2 linked regions of the Caenorhabditis elegans genome follow. The protein of the gene in region 2 interacts with the protein of the main gene of each other region in a pairwise test. Each region holds a gene or a part of one and is shown on either strand. Other genes may lie near its edges.

Region 1 (8,686 bases), on a different chromosome or scaffold from region 2:
AAATATCAAAAAAATTTTGGGGGAGGGGCAGAAATCGGAAATATAACGAATTCTGAAAAAAGACCAAAGGTTTCACACTATATTAGGCCCATTAAAGGTGGTGTAGTCGAATTTGAGACTATACTTAAAAACATTCTCTATGCTCGTACAAGTTGATATGTATAAGCGAAACATCACAAAAATTTCGCTAAACCGAGTTATGAGCCTTCAAAGTGCCGAAAAAAATGTCGCCGTCCATCTAATTTGAATTTCGCACGCAAATGAGCACCCCCTCGCGTGTACTCCTCTCGGACAATCAAATAATTAATTTCTCGATTTTCAGCAATTTTAGATGATTTTTCGTACTTTAATGAGCCTATTCTGGGTTTTTATTAGAAATTAATGTTTAAAGAGACAATAAATCATATTTTGTAAAATATTTAACGTAAAGCAGTTCAAAAAATGGAGTAATAACTGGATAATGCAATAAAATGTGAGTTTTGTCTATTTTTAGGTGTCATTGGGCAATCAATCAGTTTAAATTGTATTCATAGACATTGGCTCGTCGTTAATTCGATTAAAACATCGAAAAAACTATGAAAAATCACGATAAAATACGAAAATTGCCGAAAATCGAGAAATTAATTATTTGATTGTCCGAGAGGAGTACACACGAGGGGGCGCTCATTTGCGCGCGAAATTCAAATTAGATGGACGAAGAGATTTTTTTCGGCACTTTGAAGGCTCATAACTTCCTTTAGCAAAATTTTTGTGATGTTTCGCTTTTACATATCGACTTGTACGAGCATAGTGAATGTTTTTAAGTATAGTCTCAAATTCGACTACACCACCTTTAATAAGTTTTACCGTTTTTTCTCAGTATTGTTTATTGTAAGATATATGTACCAATTACAGGGCGTTTATTGAGTTTTAACGTCTTAAAATGTGAAACATGTGCTAGAATGAAGATTTAATTTGCTACACAGATTTGGAAAACAATACATAATTGCGCTTATAGTCCAAATTATTTTTTCTGAAAATAGTAGAAAAATCGTGATTTTACGCGAAATGTACTCAAAAATCCGAGGTTAATACGATGCTTAATGCAAGAGGACAATAACTTTTCTAAAAGTTTTCAGTTTTCTCATTAAAAAATTTTTAAAAAAGCAGTACACGCACTGTAGTAACAAAAACTATTTTACTAATTTTGGTTCACTCATTATAAGTTTGCAAAATCTGAATTTTCAGGAGACTCTACAAATTAATGATACTTAACAAAGAAGATCCGACAGTAGTTGAAGACTTTATCAATTCGAATATCACATGCTCAAAATTAACCATTTTTCTAATGTATATGTACGAAAAGGAGGCATTTGGATACTCTCTACCAAGGGAGTTTCTGGATTTATTGATTAAGAAATGGAATGTGAAAACTGTGGAGATTGTTCCAAGACAAGACCAACCAATACCTTACTATTTCCATTGTAACACTGATTTTATTGTGCCAAAAGCCAAGTTTTATGTGGATTACTGGACTCAACCAAGGTCAAAATACACATTGGATGGCGTTGAAATTGATCTACAACTCACAAAAGTAGTCGAACAACAAATAAAGAATCGGAAATCACTATTCGATAATTTTATTGCCAACGCTCGCAGAATCTTTCCCAGCAATAAGATCACTGTAAGATTCTCGAAGGAAGTTTGCCAAGAGATGATGAGTCAAGGAAATGTTGAAGATTTTATATCGGGAATAATATTGATGACTCAAAAGGATGCTCAACCTAACTCGCATATATCTCTCAAATTATATCCTGAAGAAGTAGATGCCCCTTTAATTGATTCGTTTCTACGTGAAAATTTCGAGAAGAAATTTGATTCTTGGAACCTCGAAACCGTTTCAGACAGTTCTGCAAATCTCCCAGCAGAAAAATGTTATCAGTTTTTCAACCAGTCAACAAATTGTAAGATTATTTTTTATATTTGTTGCTAATCTCGCATGGATTTAGTAACCATTTTTGACAAATACTCTTTACCACTTCAATACGCTTTAAATAGATAATTATGAAGTAAAAATCTGCTAATGTGAAAACTCAAGTAGTGAAACAGTATTTGACAAAAAAATCATATTACATCCATAAAAATACTACTCATTTCTACTGAATTCTGAGAACGCGTATTGCGCAACGTGTCTAAAGTAAATATCTCGTAGCGAAAACTACAGTAATCCTTGAAATGACTTCTGTAGCGCTGATCCGATTTTGCGTTATTTTTTCTAAATAATGGATAAAAACTTAAAAAAAAACATCTAAACGAACAAATTGGAGGAAAATTAAAAAACGCTATCGCAATTTGAGAATAAATTTGTTTCTAACGGCATTGACATCAGTGCTACAGTAGTCATTAAAAGAATTACTGTAGTTTTCGCTACGAGATATCTTTCACGTCAAATATGATGCGCAATACGCATTCTCAAAGTTTAGTGTTCCCGTAATATTTGTTACTGCCAAGAACCCACCGTGTGTTCAATTATAACCCCAACAATCAACCTAGCTATACTTAACTTCTTCCATAGTTTTTTTCTATTTTCCCTCTTTTATTGGCACCCCACTCCTTTTTTACATTATGTGTAATCTCTATAATATTATATTTCCTTGTTTTTTTTGCCTTTTCCTGTTTTAATGAACTCTTCAATATTAGTTACAAAAGTAGTAAAAACTAAAAATGTTTGCAGAATATTTCAAAGCAACGGGGAAACAGTGAAAGTTTTTCTTGTTGGTTTTATGGGCCACTAGAGGTATTTAAGCATTTTGTACTAAAAAATTTCATTAAAAATTTCATTAAAAATCCAGAAATTTATCGAAAATATGCAAGATCAAATTGAATGACAACCGATTAAAAGGAATGAAGTATATTGGTAATCTTGAAGTGGTAGGGACTCATGTCAATAATAAATTCATTAACTGTTTCCTTAAGTGTCATTGTGAATGTTTCAGCAGAGTGATTGGAAAAGTCAGGTTTGAAAATTGTAGCGATTTCTTGAATGTTTAAGAATGGGAGATGGATGTAACAGTGCAAAAAATTGGACGATTTGACGAGCACCTGAAAATTTATTTTACAACTAAATTATATTGGAGATAGACTAGTTGGGCCAAAATCCATAATTTTTTTAAAAATAAAATTTTTCCAGCCGCCTGAGGATTTGTTTAACTGTCAGCTCTCTTTAAAGTGTTTTATAGATTTTATTTTTAAGGGGTTGCAATCTAAAATTGTTCTGTTGCACTGTTTTGCAAAACTTTTAGAATAGTTAGTTGAATAAATTGTTTAGAAAAATAGCTTGAAATCTTAATTTTTTTGAATACGACAATCATAATGTTCTATTTTCTTTTGTTAATTTTTTGAATATTTTTGAAACAATGTTTTTTTGATTTTACGGAAAGTCGATTAATCATAAAAAGGTGGGCAGCAAAATTTCCGGCAAATCGGCAAATTGCCGGAATTGAAAACCTATGGCAAATTGGCGAACCGGCAAGATGCCGATTTGCCGTAAGTTTTCAATTCCGGCAAGTTGCCGATTTGTCGGAAAACGGTAATTGCAAAAATTTTTGGCTTTTTTATTGGAAATTTCAGAATTTCAATTTTAACCGGCAAAATTGTACAGATCCGATAAATTTTTCTACATATATTTTGAAAACTAAGCAAAAAATTTCAAAAAGGCACAGTTTTAAGTGTTTCCGTCTTATAAAACATCCCTCAAAAAACTTCCGGCAAATTAATGTTCGGCAAACCGGCAAATTGCCGATTTGCCGAACGGCTATTTCTGCCCAGGTTTCGGCTACCACTTACATCTCTAACATTGATGGCGTCTTCTGTGGATAATGTATCTAGAGTGATAGTAAACTCTGTGAAATGAAACAAGTGTTGTATAGAATCCACAGAAAATTTCCCTCCATGAGCATTGAGTGACTTTGTCATTTTCCATTGTTCCAGTTGGCAAATTTCATTTAATGAACAAAGCATATTACAGTTTCCCAAGTGAATACTTTCCAGTACTCCAGATTCACATTTCGATATTATTAACATCATTTCTTTGGAAGACAAGCCACGAAGTGACAAGCTAGATACGTGCATCGATAAACCACCCAGAATAGATGAAATGCACAAATTGCGGTTTTCCATGCCAACTTTTTCATCGAGTAAAACCTCCAAAGATTCCAGTGAATATTTGAAAAATCTGATAACTTCCTCCAAATCATCAAAAGCCAACTTGAAACTATTTCCACCTTCCACAAATCGTTGCTCAGTTCCGAACTCCACAATGCAACCATTTTCCACACTTTTATAAACAAGTGCTCCGGCACCTTTCCGATGTGAGCAACTTGCTCCGATAAACAGTTTCGGGACGTCGTTTAGTATTCTGATAGCAATTCTTTTAGAATCCACACTGTTCATACAAATGAAATATCTTAAGAGTTTTGGTGTGGTGGATCTGAAAGTTTTGGAAGTTTTCAGTCAAAAACTAGAAAGTTTTGCGAATACTTTTAACATGCAAAAAATTAATAACCTTGTTAGGGCTTCCATGGTAGGCAGGCCCGGTTTCAGGGCCTGCCTGAAACCTAGCCGGCCTTCCGCCTTCATTTGCATTTTGGCATGAATTTACACATTTAAAAATTTTCCATTTTTGTCACTAAAGAGTTCAAGTATAAGTTCAAGCATAAAGCGCAAATTGAGGCAGGCAGACATTTTAATTCCTACATGGAACCCCTAAACCTTCTCCACCTTTCTCAATTTTTTTGTGAAAATTACTTTAGTTCAGTAAAGTTATATCCTTAAATCATTAACTCACGGATATTGAGTCCCACTTTCCTGATTCCCAGATTGATTGACTGACGTTGATGGCTCCATTTTACTGAAAAAAAAAAGTTTTGTAATTTTGGTAATTTTCCATTTTTAATTTTAAAAAAATAGAAAAAAAGCTCCATGGTCACAAAAAGTGCATGGAATAATCATGACTCGATGCTTATTTATTGCACTCACCGCCTTCGACAAATGTCTGTTTTTCCCTGCGTCTGCTGTGAAAAAGATTATACAATGTTGTGCAACGCTCCACAAGCGCCACTCCCAAGAGAAAGTTCAAGGGATCAAAAGAAGGCCACAAAAATTTAAACATAAATTTTCCCGCCATTTTTGTGTGCAGTAGAGCGATGGGGCAATCTGACACCAAGTGATGGTTTATTAATAGTACAAAACAAAAAAGTCTTTAAAGTTTATTCAATCTACATATTCAACAACATCAAAAGAATATACCACATCGAAGTTGATGTTACAATTAATTGATCGGTTGAAAAAATGAAAGGATTTACCTCTCTCATTTTCAGAAATTTTTGAAACTGATTTTAAGCTCCAGAAACCAAATAACTTAACTAGATTATCACATAAAAACGAAGTAATCAAACGAAAACGTAATTGCTGGGGATATAACTTTAGAGAAATATGTGAATTAGGGTGATCATCGTTTTGAGCCATCAAAATAACTCCTGAAATGAAGTCCTCAACGTTGTCAGGATTCATGAGCACTTTGCAAACTTCCTTCGAGAGTTTCAAAGTGATCTTGTTGGATGGGAATATCGTGCGAACATTTGGAACAAAATTGTTAAATAGTGATCCATGACACTTTTCCATTATTCTTGTGAGTTTTATATTAATTTCCACTACATCCAATGTGTACATTGAACGTTGTTGAGTCCGGTAATCCACATAGAATTTAGCTTTTGGATCAATATAATCAGTATTCTGATAGAAATCGTCGTTCGTCACATTTTTGAACCCAATTTCAACAGTTTTTACATTCCATTTTGTTATTAACATATCCACAAGCTCTCTCGGTAGAGAATGTCCCAATTCCTTCTTTTCGAATATAGATGTTAGAAAAATTGTAAATTTTGAGCAAGTGATGATCGAGTTGATAAAGTTTTCAACTAGCTTCGGATCCTTCTGCTTGTTAAGCCATAATAATACGTAGAGATCTCTGAAATGATTAATTGTGTAATGGGCTCGTTTAAGTGGTGTCAGGCTGTCCCATAACGGTTTGATCTACAAAAAATGGTGGCATTTTTTCCCAAACCATGTAAAGTGGGTTAGGAATTTTGCAACTAAATTCTCGCGATTTTCGTGGACACTCTAACACCACGCGTTTGTTTCGAACGTTGGCTGATAAAAATTTTAAGAGTTTTTCCGTAATTACCGTAAAGTATGTAGTAATTGAAAATCGATCATGCATAATTTTCTCAGCGTCGGAATTTTCAAACGGTTTAGTACTTTGTAAGTGGGTAGTATTACATATGCACGTGGTGTCAAACTGCCCAATTCTGGTGTGATCAACAAAAAATGCGGGAATTTTTTGCAGAAAAAAATGTGACGTCAGCACGCTGTTAACCATACGAAATCTGTTGAGAAGTCTGCGCCTCTTCTCCCGCATTTTTGGTAGATCACACCGAAATTGGGCACTTTAACATCACGTGCCTATGTATATAAGTTTATACGGTTCTCAAAAATTTTAGAAAAATTCTAAAACTCACTCGTCTGTGATCTGTAATGCATCAAAGCTTCGTTTTTGCCCCATTACACTTTGAAATATGTCCAGTTGAATTGGCCCGTATACTTTACAGTTTTGAATCATTTTTCTACATTCGCCACATCCTGCAATGCAGATATTATCAACTCCAATAAATTCTTCGACTCTCTCATCTGAAAGTAAGAATATTAGAAAATTAAGAATGGATCAATAGAACTCACAATCTGAATCTGTAAATAAGTCATTGAGAGCCAAATGAATAATTTCTCTATCAATACAACTGAATTCCAAGTCTTCAATTATTATTTTGAATACCGTTATCTTCATCGTTTGTTTCAAGAACCTGTAATATAAATTTACATACTCATTTTCATAACAAAACTTGCCTCGCATACTTTCGTATGTTCTTAACATTAAGCTCTACCGAATTCAAGTTCACTGTACAATTTGGGCATCTTCTAATAATATCACAACGAGTAGGCTTGTGAAAGATCACTGTTTGATGCTCTATTCGAATCGAATGAATGATTCCAAAATTGAATGCTTTGTTGACCAGCTGCAAAGCTATTTATTATAACTTGAAATATAAATATTGGACGAAAACACTGGGCTCTGGCCTTCCTCATTGCATTTTTCGCGCTCTATTGACAATCGCCCGCCGGACAAGGCGTGGGAAAGTCGTGTACTCCACACGGACAAATACATTCAGTTTTACAAGCCGCGACGCGACACGCAACGCGCCGTAAATCTACCCCAGATATGGTCGAGCCAAAATGGTCTAGTTTGGCACAAACTCTTCCATTTCAATTTATGAGGGAAGCCAGATATCCGTGATATTGGACTAAAATATTTTCTTATCAAAATTTATAAAAATTACTCACACGTGACTTCAACCGATTGTTCATATCTCCTTTCACATATTTCAGAATATTGTCGACGATTCTTTGATTTGTGAACACTTTCATGCTGTTCTGAAAACCATTTCGCATTTTTTTTCAGATTTGGTTTAACTTACAGAAGAATTGTCGCCAACAGGCGTAAATTGGTTTCTATAAATTCTTGACAAACTCATTCCGAACGGCTGAAAATATTGATTGAACTGAATTCACATTATTCATTAAAAAAAATAGGTTAGCCTGTTATGTAGAGAAATTTAGTGAATAAAAAACTGAATATGTATTTATTTAATAGATTTCTCGGCACACAGGAATTAGGAATAACTCCCAAAAAATAGATATTTGGCAGGAGGGCCGAACAGCTGTGTTTTCCGTGACGTCATACAGGTCAATGGACACAGGATGTAGTCATATTACGGGAACACACAATTCTGAGAATGCGCACTGGGGCATTTGATTTGACGCGCAATATCTCTTAGCGAAAACTATTTACAGTAAGAATTTAAATTCTACCGTAGCGGGCTCAATTTTCGAAAATATATTTTCTTATCGAATTTTGAGAGCAGTTTTTCAGTTTTCCATGCTTGATTTTATTATTTTATCTTTAAATAAATTTTTTTCATTGAAAAAACGGGAAAAACACCGGGAGAAATTGATCTGGTGAGAAAATTATAATATTTCTGCTGTTTTCCTGTTGACAACTTTAGAAATGTCAATTAAACAACTATATTTTAAAATAATCATTTATTTTTTTAATTACGTCAACTAGAAAACATTAACTTTTTGCGAAAATTCACTTCTACCACACTCATCATCCCGAAAACAGCGAGGTCTCATGAAATTGCAAGCGCGCTCTACTGCAAGGAAAGGCAGCGCGCGAAGCAAATTTTCAAACAATTTTTTGAACGTTTTACCGCATTTTCTCACTTTCTCGCTTAATTTTGCTATGTTTTTTGCGATTTTTTTGTAATTTTTCTTCGTTTTTCAGATGTCCGACTCGGAAAACCATGCAGAATCGGATGTTAGACGCTCGTCTCGCCGCTGTGGAGTCAGTCAAAAGAAGTCGAAGGAGCTGTCTGCAATTGAGCAGCTGAAATTGGCGCGATCAACAGGAAAAGCCTATCGCCCAGAGGTAGTTTTATAGCAGATTTTTGTTATAAAACGATTTTTTTCATTTAGCTCGACGTGGAGGACGTCTACGACACGGTTGATGATGATGAGTACGAGAAAATCGTTG
Region 2 (8,642 bases):
TTCATACTCAAGGATGTGACGCGGGTGCGCGCGGGCCCTTTGCAACATCTGAGGCGTTTGTGTATGTAGTTTAGGCGACCCAAAACTTTCTCTATTTTCTGGACTTTTTCAGGGGCGCGCGCGTGTGTGGTCTTTACCCTTTCACCCTTTGTCCATATATTTGAACTTCTTTGATCATCTAAATCCCCCCCCCCCCCCTTATACAATAATATCCGAGTTCATTCTCACACCGCTCGCGCGCCATCACTTCTTATGTATATATATACATGTTTAGTTTATACATGACATGAAACATTTCCTTTTAACATTGCTCTGCGAGTGTCTTTTTGAATGCACAACGGTTTTGTGGAGAGATACGGAGAAATAGAGAGGAAGAGATATTGGAGAATGTCAGAGAGAGATAGATAGATATTATTTGTCTTCATTTTCTCTTTTGTGAGGGACTGAGAGCGGTCTGAGCAAACTGAGACTACACATACCACAATGCACACATTCGAGACACAGAAGGAGCTCTGCGAGCAAAACACGTGGCGGAGAGAGGGATAGGTTTCAAAAGGTTTCAATGCGACATTTTCTTCCCAAAAAATATATTTGCAAAAAATAGCATGGGTTGCGTGCACTCTGAGACTCTGTGTGTGCGGCGTTGATCAACAAAACACATTTTTTGTTCAACCACATGCAGTGGTTGAAGACACAAAGAGGATTGGAAGCAATTTGAACTTTAGAAATGAACGATTTTTTTCTGTTTCACTAAATTCTGATATAAAATTTTGGATTTACAAAGTGTTTCAGGTTCGAATAGCATTTCGAAAATCGTACAAAATATCACTCGTATCATTTTGATTCCATGCAATTCTTCCTCCCATCTAGGGGCTCCTTATCTAAACTAGAATGTACCGAAAATTGGCAAAATTTTCAAGGAAACTCGAAGGTTTTCACGGAAAACGCTAGAAACGAGAAGAGGATGGTCAAAACACATGGTTTAAGAATTCCAAGTAGAATCATAAGATGGAAAGTTGAAAAGTGCTTGCGATCCTTTGATACGAAGACCGAAAAATGATCGAGAGAGCGAAAGAGGAGAGTAAGGCGGGTATCGAAGAAGTGCAGGCATGCGAGCGAGATACTGGGACGCAGACAAATCTAGAAACCTGGAAGAGAGTACATGTTATGAAGAGACCGACAGAGAAATGCGAGAAAATGTGGGCACTCTTAAGAGAGTGCGGAGAGTGTGAGAGAATCGCCCCTAAAGTTTACATTTTGTTGCGTATTTCATTTTGCACAAGAGTTAGAGGAGAGTGAAATAGTGTGGTAAACTGAGAGATTCAGACAATGAACTGTGATGCTGTTTCTCTGGGTGTGTGTTTTATCAGTATATAAATGGATCCTTTTGATCCCGAATGTTTTTGATTCAGGAAACACGTGTCATTTTTTTATCACTACACGAGTTCACTGAGATCGCACACTTTCAGCTGTCCTCTAGGGAAACTAAGAATTGCATTATTTCTATACACACCTAATCAAATTTCTATTCATTTTGCACGTGACGTAAGATTGTTGTTTTTTTGGAAATAAACTTTGTAAAAAGACAAAATCGCAGACAAAATTTTAAACGAAAATAAAACACCTATTTGAAACGGGATTTTTTTTTCGAATTCCAAGTGTTTCGAATAATGTAACTTAAACTGTACAAATGCACGGTTTTTTTAAATTAAAAACTGGAACAATTCAAATAAAAAGGTCTAAAACTATATAAATATTATAAAAATTATCACAAACGTTTCTGCGAGATCATAGAGATTGCGATATCTCTGTTCTAATTTTATGATTTCTTCTTTCCATCAATAGATCAACAATACCTTATCAACCTGTGTGTTTTGATCTAATGTATTTCCTCAAATTTTCTGCATTTCCAACAGCTGAACCATTTTCCGGTTTTTCGCCCAACAACATGAAGCTAGTGTAAATTGGGTCAATTCCTCCGCGCTCAAAAATTGCGACCGAATCGGCGAGAAATTAGCAACACTCGAAACATAACAAGAGGAGAACGAGGGACGAGATTTTTCATGGATGAATAGAGGAAATGGGCATAATTAATGTCAGGACTACATTACATTTAGAAAAGGATTATTTCCACATCTAAACCCCCTGAGGGAAAAGGAAGCTATTTCAGAAAGGAAATTGAAGATAGAGGGAAACTTTATGAACTATTGAACTTTCAGAGAACTAATTTAGACTACGTTTTAAAATTAATTTAATGTTTAAAAAAGACAGTGACCTGTTGTAATATATATATTGGTTGTTTTATATTTAGTTTTTCTAATATAAGATTAGTTTTGTGAAAAATTTTTGGATTTTTTTTGGTGCAGTAGATATTTTTAGTTAAATTTGGAGTCACGTCAACAGGCATTTTGTATAAATACATTTATAATACCTTCACATGAACACGCATCATATTTTAAAAGTCCAGAACAATCTGGAATTTTCAGAAATTTCAGTCAAAGTAAGAACAAATTGCCAGATTTCAAACAGAACGGCTATAGTGGGAAACTTAGTAATAGTCACATTTCACAAATTTTCTGCTATTACAAGTTACTGTGATATTCTGTAAAATTATAAAAATTTGGTACACATCGTGAAATAAATTTTAAAGCAGGCTAAAGCATGTTTCTATTTCAACATTTTTCAATTATTTTTATTTTTGTTAGGGTATTGAAGAAAAACAATTATTTGCAAGGCTGTTGGCTATTCCAAAAATAAATGTTATTGAGGTACACAAAATCTACTGTTTCAGATATGGTTTATTATGGAAATTGTTAATTTCGAGTTATTAACAGCTATAAATATTTTAGTAAATATTGTTGTAAAAAAGGAAAACAGATTTTAAAATAAGATTCGCTTATACTTTTGTTCTTAAACTACCAATTTGAAAATTTTACTGTTTCCTGGCATCGACTTATTCTAGACCCCCTTACTCATTCATTCAATCTTTTTTTCGCATTCCGGAATGTTCTTTCATGTACCAATGTGCAAATACAACTCAACGAAACCGTGAAAACCACGTGAACTAACCCGCGAAACTGAACTGTCACATATTTCCGGTTGGCACTTTGTTTTATTGATACTGATCATAAAGAGATGATCACAAAATTGAGCGGTGATAGATAAAACAGTCATTCAAATTGTCAAAATTAATGTCGAATTTGTAATGTAGAAATTAATATTATTTGTTGATTCAGCTGGCGAGGAGAAGCGCACAATGAGAGAGCACAAGACAATGATCAAGTACAAATATCTTGAAAATTTTGGCATTTTTTCCAGAAATTAGGGACAAGGCTTCATGTAAACACGAAGATCTTTTAGATTACATTGCACCTAAAACGGGAGATCCTTCAGGAATCCGTATCTGAATTCGCCCCAAACAAAAATCGATCATTTATGCAGACAGAAAATAGTGGAATTTGAAATTCAGTACGTCACTGCTCTTTCATTCTTTTCAACCTTTTGGAAGAGAGAGAGCGTTAAATCATTCCATTTTTACTGTGTTGCACGGCCGTTTATGATGATAAAATGTTATGGAATTGTATCGGAGAGAGCGAAGTAACACAATTGAACATTGAAACAGTGGTTGTAAAAATTCGGAAAATTTGATATTTTTTGAGGAATCGTGGTTAGTCAGCAAATAAATACTAAAATTGACTATTTCATTGTGGCTATGAAACAGTAAAAAAACATATCAAATTCCAAACAGTTTTTCACAACAATAAAAATCTAATGTTTTACAAACAGTATAAAAGTTGAAAAATGTTAATTGCTGATTTTTCTTTCATGCAGCGAGATATTCAGAAAACCTTGAACATGTGGAATTGCCGAATTTTGCAGACTCGGAAATTTCAAGATTTTTCTTACTCGTTTGGTTACATGTCAGGAAAATACGAAATTTCATGGCGAAATTTCAAATTACAGAAAAAAACACATTTTGTAGGCGTATGTACAGGCGTACAAAAATTGAGTATTTCCAATTCACTATTTCATGAAACAGTAGAAATAAATGAAAACAAAATAAAAAATTAAAAAAACTAACAAAACATTTTGTTTTATCGTTCGCTTTAAACCGAGCATTTTGGTAAGCTGTTGATGTTTTTTCATGAATTTGCTAGGATTTCTCATTCAAAATTTCAATAGGCATTCTTACAAGAATTAAAAAACACTTATTAAATCTTGCTGATATGAACAAAAATTTACTGCTTTACGAATCAGTAAAAAATGTAGGTTTAAAACTCATTACTTCAAGAAAATGACTGGGCTTTCTTATTTCAAATACCAAGTTTTTAATTAAAAAATAAACACACCTTAATAACATTTGGCGGTGAATTCCTTGAAACTGTATTAGTGATTGCTTGCAGAGCATCTTGCTTCATTGTCATAAAATTTCTTCCAGTTTCTCCATTTTCCTGCTTCACAACCATAAAATTGAATGCTTGCTGATTCTGCTGTTGATTCAGTTTTTGAGCAGCTAATACAGTATCCATAAGGATACTTGTCGTCGTTGATGTGCTCGGAAAGCTTAAGAACATTGGAAGATTCGGTGGTGATGCAGAAGTTGTGATTGGAATTGGTGATGTTGATGTTACAGTAATCATATCAGTTGGTGAAGGGATTACTGGAAGATTTGATGATGGAGATGATTGTTGTTGATGAAGAGCCGCTGAGACAAAAGAACTAGAAGCTGTTGTAGGAAACATTGCCGTTTGTGGCGGCGATCGAAATAGTTCCATAACAAGTGAAGACGTCGTTTTGAAAATGGGAAATTTGAGATAGATACCTGGAAAAAATGAGGTATAGTCATATGCAAAAAAAGTGGTTAAAACGAGGAGGAGAAGAGATGATAATCATGATGATAAGAGAGCACACAAACTCAAACAAGAGTATACATTTAAAGATGCATAACCTTTAGAAAAAGTGAAGAATAGGATAAAGAGAAATATCAAATTAATTATTGGACTTCTGAAACAGTAACTTTTTTTCAAAAAAAAAATCAAGCGAAAATGGATGAAGGGCGTAAAATGAATCGATAACCGATAAGATTGATATGATTGAAAACAGCTGGAAATTTTTTCAGAGATAATCCTATTTTTCTGCTAGTATTCAAGTTGCTTTGTTAAAATCGCAGTTTAATAAATGTCTCACAAAATGTTTTTTTGGGGAGTTTTGATCAAAATTTCTAACAGGCATGTTGTACAATTTTATATGTTGTACAATTTTAGAAACCGAAAAACATGAAGATTGGGATGTGAAAAATTTCAAAATTATTTATGTGGTTGTGAAACAGTAATTAAAAAAAGCTGTTTCTGAAATAAAAAAATATAAACATCGATTTTAATTTTTTAATTTTTAGTGAAAAAATATGTTTCTCTAAAGCTATATCCGTTTTGATGAACTGTGAACCGAAAATATAAAACTGTGAAAAATCGAATGACGAGATGGAAATAATAATGTTTCAGTGCTCATTCATTTTGTGTACCTAACCTGATTGATTCATGAGCAATGAGCGATCAAAGAAATCAACAAAAGTTGAAGAGAGCACCGCCAAGAAATCGGAACAATCAATTTTCCAGTTTCAAGGTAAATATTGAACCAAGTTTTTGACGCTGTTACTTTGATGCTTTTTAATTTCCTTTTTTCTTCGGACGCGTAAGCAGTAAAAATTTTAAAGTCAGAAGAAGAATGTCCATCTGAACACAATATTTGAAAAACCCGAGGGAAACTGTGAAATGAGAGAGAGAGGGACGAGTGGTACGGTTGGACACAAGACGGCCGGTGCTGATCATGATAATGATCTAAGGAATCGGAGAATGAGATGAAGGGAAGCTGAATGACTGGAAGTTTATTAATCTGTTAAAAGAATCAAAATTAATGGAAAACAATGGGAGGGGAAGATGGATAGAAATGGTTTTTGGGAATAGGAGATCGGAAGATGGAGAGCTCAGTTTTTTTTGTTAATTGAAAAACTAACACTTTTATGAATAACTTTTACTTTGAAAATATTAAAATAAAATTTGATATCACTTTTGCGAATTTTTATATGGAATTATTTCATTATTTAAAACTGGCAAGTATCGCATCACACTCAGAATAAGGGCTGCAAAACTGAGTCACAACGGACAATTTCAGCTATTCCGGAATCTCTACGATTCGGTGCCTATTTTTTTGTGTTATAAAGGGTTTTAACGTTTTTTTTCATAATTTTCCATGCTTTTTGTCTGTTACAAAATTTATACTTTTTTCAATCAGTTTACAAATAAACCAGTGATCGTATTGTTTATGGTAGCATTTTCTAATATTATACACCACTTGAAACATATAAAATATAGTTTCAGCGGCAATTATAGTGAAATCTTATAAATTTACATTGAAGGAGCTCAAATCACATTAGGACATCAAAAAAAGTTTGCAATGTTTTTCCTCAACGTTTCAATAATTTTAAAAGTGCCCAGAAACCAAATTTTTTCCATATTTTCAAGAACAATGTTGTCATACATATTCAATCTTTGCATTGGTTGGAAACTTAAAATAGCATCTTAACAATTTTTAGGGAGTTTTAATGGTTTTGATTGGAGCCTACAGGTTTCTGACTGCTTTAAGTGTATTCATTTTAAATTTGATTCTAATGAGAGTTTTTTTAATTCGAGGGTTATCCAAAACCTTCCATTGGAAAACAAAAAACAACTGTTTCAAACTATTGATTAGGTTATTCAATTTTGTATTGTTTCGCTCTCATTGTGATGTAGACCAATGTATTTTTGCCTAATCCTAATGACAAAGAAGAAATTATAGATTTTTTCTACAATCTCAAATAATACCGACTATATAAAACATACTAAAAAAGCAATAATGGATCAGCATTGTTTTGCAACAATAGATTCAAAATATCCCAAAAGTTGAAACCTAGGAAATTCTCAAAACTATCTCAAAAAAAAATCTAAAATTCTCTTATACCGGTTTGCAAATTCAAAGGATGTTAGGCCAAATTTCAAGTTTTAAAATTTTGTCCCTGTCCTAGAAGCTTATCAAATGCTGGTATCTATCATTCATCAAACTTATTTATTTTTCAATATAAAAATTTTACGAATTATAGCTTACTACAGTCTGAAACAATACAGACTACGTGAAACATGTTAATATAGAAAAAAAAACTATTCAGAAAACTGATCTATTTGGTCTGAGGAAAATTTAAAAAAAAAGTACTGGTACCGATACACTGGAACGCGGAACAGTGAGTCGAGATAAATTAGGCGAAGACCTTGAAAAATAAAAAAATGACGAGAGACGCCGTCAGATCTGGAACAGATTGCCGCCGACATTGGATCGATGTCTACGATCTTGAGGTGGATGGTTAATACTGGAAAGCCATGTTTTCATGAAAATGATAGAACAGAGAACAGTTTGCGGAAAATAAAAGGGCACTGGAGAGTCACAGTTTTTTTTAAAAATAAAAATATCCAGTGTGAAACTGTAATAAATTGGTTATTTAAAAAAAATGGAGATAACCAGAAAATTGTTTCTGTTCAATTTTGGACTTTATACCATGCGAAAAATATTTAGAAACATGTCCCTAACAGAAATTCAGCTTTGGACCAAAATTTCCAAAATGCGAACCTTTGTTTTTTTTTTAAAACAGGCCGTACATTTTTCCCTCTTTCAGAGCCCATTTTATTAAAATTGAGTGGCATTTAGTAACGTTACAAATATGTTTTTGGCTATGCCTGCGTTGTGCCTATCTGATGCCTACCGACAAATTATCCACGTCCATATTCTCAGATAATAATTTTAATTTTCGCAGATTGACTGAAAAAAACCAACCATAAATGCAAAAACCATTTTGATTGCTTTAAAACTCAGAAGTTAATGGGAGACTGGCAGGCATAAGGTAGGCAAGTGCTACCTACCATAGAAGCTGAAACTTTGGCAAAAGTACCAAGCAAAATAGCTGTTTTGGTAATGTAAGCTTCTTGTTCAAAACATGCGATCAAGATTTCAATAGGAATTCTTTCTAATTTTGAATTTCTGGACATGTCGAAACAGTAAATTTAACAATTTTTTGCATAACTTTGAAAAGTAAGTTTCTATGGACACCTCACACTTTCATGGCTCGTTCATTATAAATTTCGACTGCTTTAGTTTTTTCAAGAAGTAATGAAACAGTGACAAATTGTCTCATTCTCTGATATTATTCAAAAACTCAAGGCTTTAGGAAATTGGTGGAGACACCCTAACGAATATTCCCAGAAAACACTTTAGTCTTCCGAGGTATCTCGAAAATGAAATAATCGTTGAATCTTTAGATCGGAACAATGGAAGAATAAGAGAGGAGACATGTTTGTGAGACACTACATGATCCGATATTGAAGATAAACTTCTCCCTTGCCAGTCAGAATACGATTTTTTGGAGAGATGTTATTTGTGCTGAAAATGCCATGAAAAAAATAATTTGCACCACGTCACTTTATATGTAACTGCAGAAATAATATGACACAAAGTTATGCAATAATGATGAGAATGTCTACAGTGCGAGTTATATTGGGTTTGGCTTCACTGGAACAAACTATCAAAAAAATTCAGTCAATAAAAAACAATTTTCTGTT

Evidence for each region.
Region 1: the proteins of nhr-46 (region 2) and fbxa-128 interact in a two-hybrid assay, tested with the Caenorhabditis elegans proteins (one large-scale study listed by BioGRID).

What each region holds. Positions count from the first base shown.
Region 1 is NC_003281.10:11,134,011-11,142,696, forward strand, and holds fbxa-128 (DUF38 domain-containing protein), read right to left. Parts: upstream 5,104-8,686; 5' UTR 5,017-5,103; intron 4,889-5,016; 5' UTR 4,885-4,888; coding exon 4,826-4,884; intron 4,469-4,825; coding exon 3,826-4,468; intron 3,082-3,825; coding exon 2,875-3,081; 3' UTR 2,789-2,874; downstream 1-2,788. Other genes in the region: pha-1 (F-box domain-containing protein), read left to right, coding at 1,228-1,972; Y47D3A.1 (F-box C protein), read right to left, coding at 5,251-6,007, 6,558-6,726, 6,775-6,896, 6,940-7,109, 7,435-7,524, 7,569-7,625; pola-1 (DNA polymerase), read left to right, coding at 8,438-8,581, 8,629-8,686.
Region 2 is NC_003282.8:5,753,041-5,761,682, forward strand, and holds the start of nhr-46 (Nuclear Hormone Receptor family), read right to left. Parts: upstream 4,823-8,642; 5' UTR 4,776-4,822; coding exon 4,350-4,775; intron 4,307-4,349; exon of another isoform or gene 4,286-4,306; intron 3,838-4,285; exon of another isoform or gene 3,817-3,837; intron 3,676-3,816; exon of another isoform or gene 3,652-3,675; intron 3,005-3,651; exon of another isoform or gene 2,981-3,004; intron 2,850-2,980; exon of another isoform or gene 2,829-2,849; intron 2,646-2,828; exon of another isoform or gene 2,625-2,645; intron 809-2,624; exon of another isoform or gene 788-808; intron 1-787.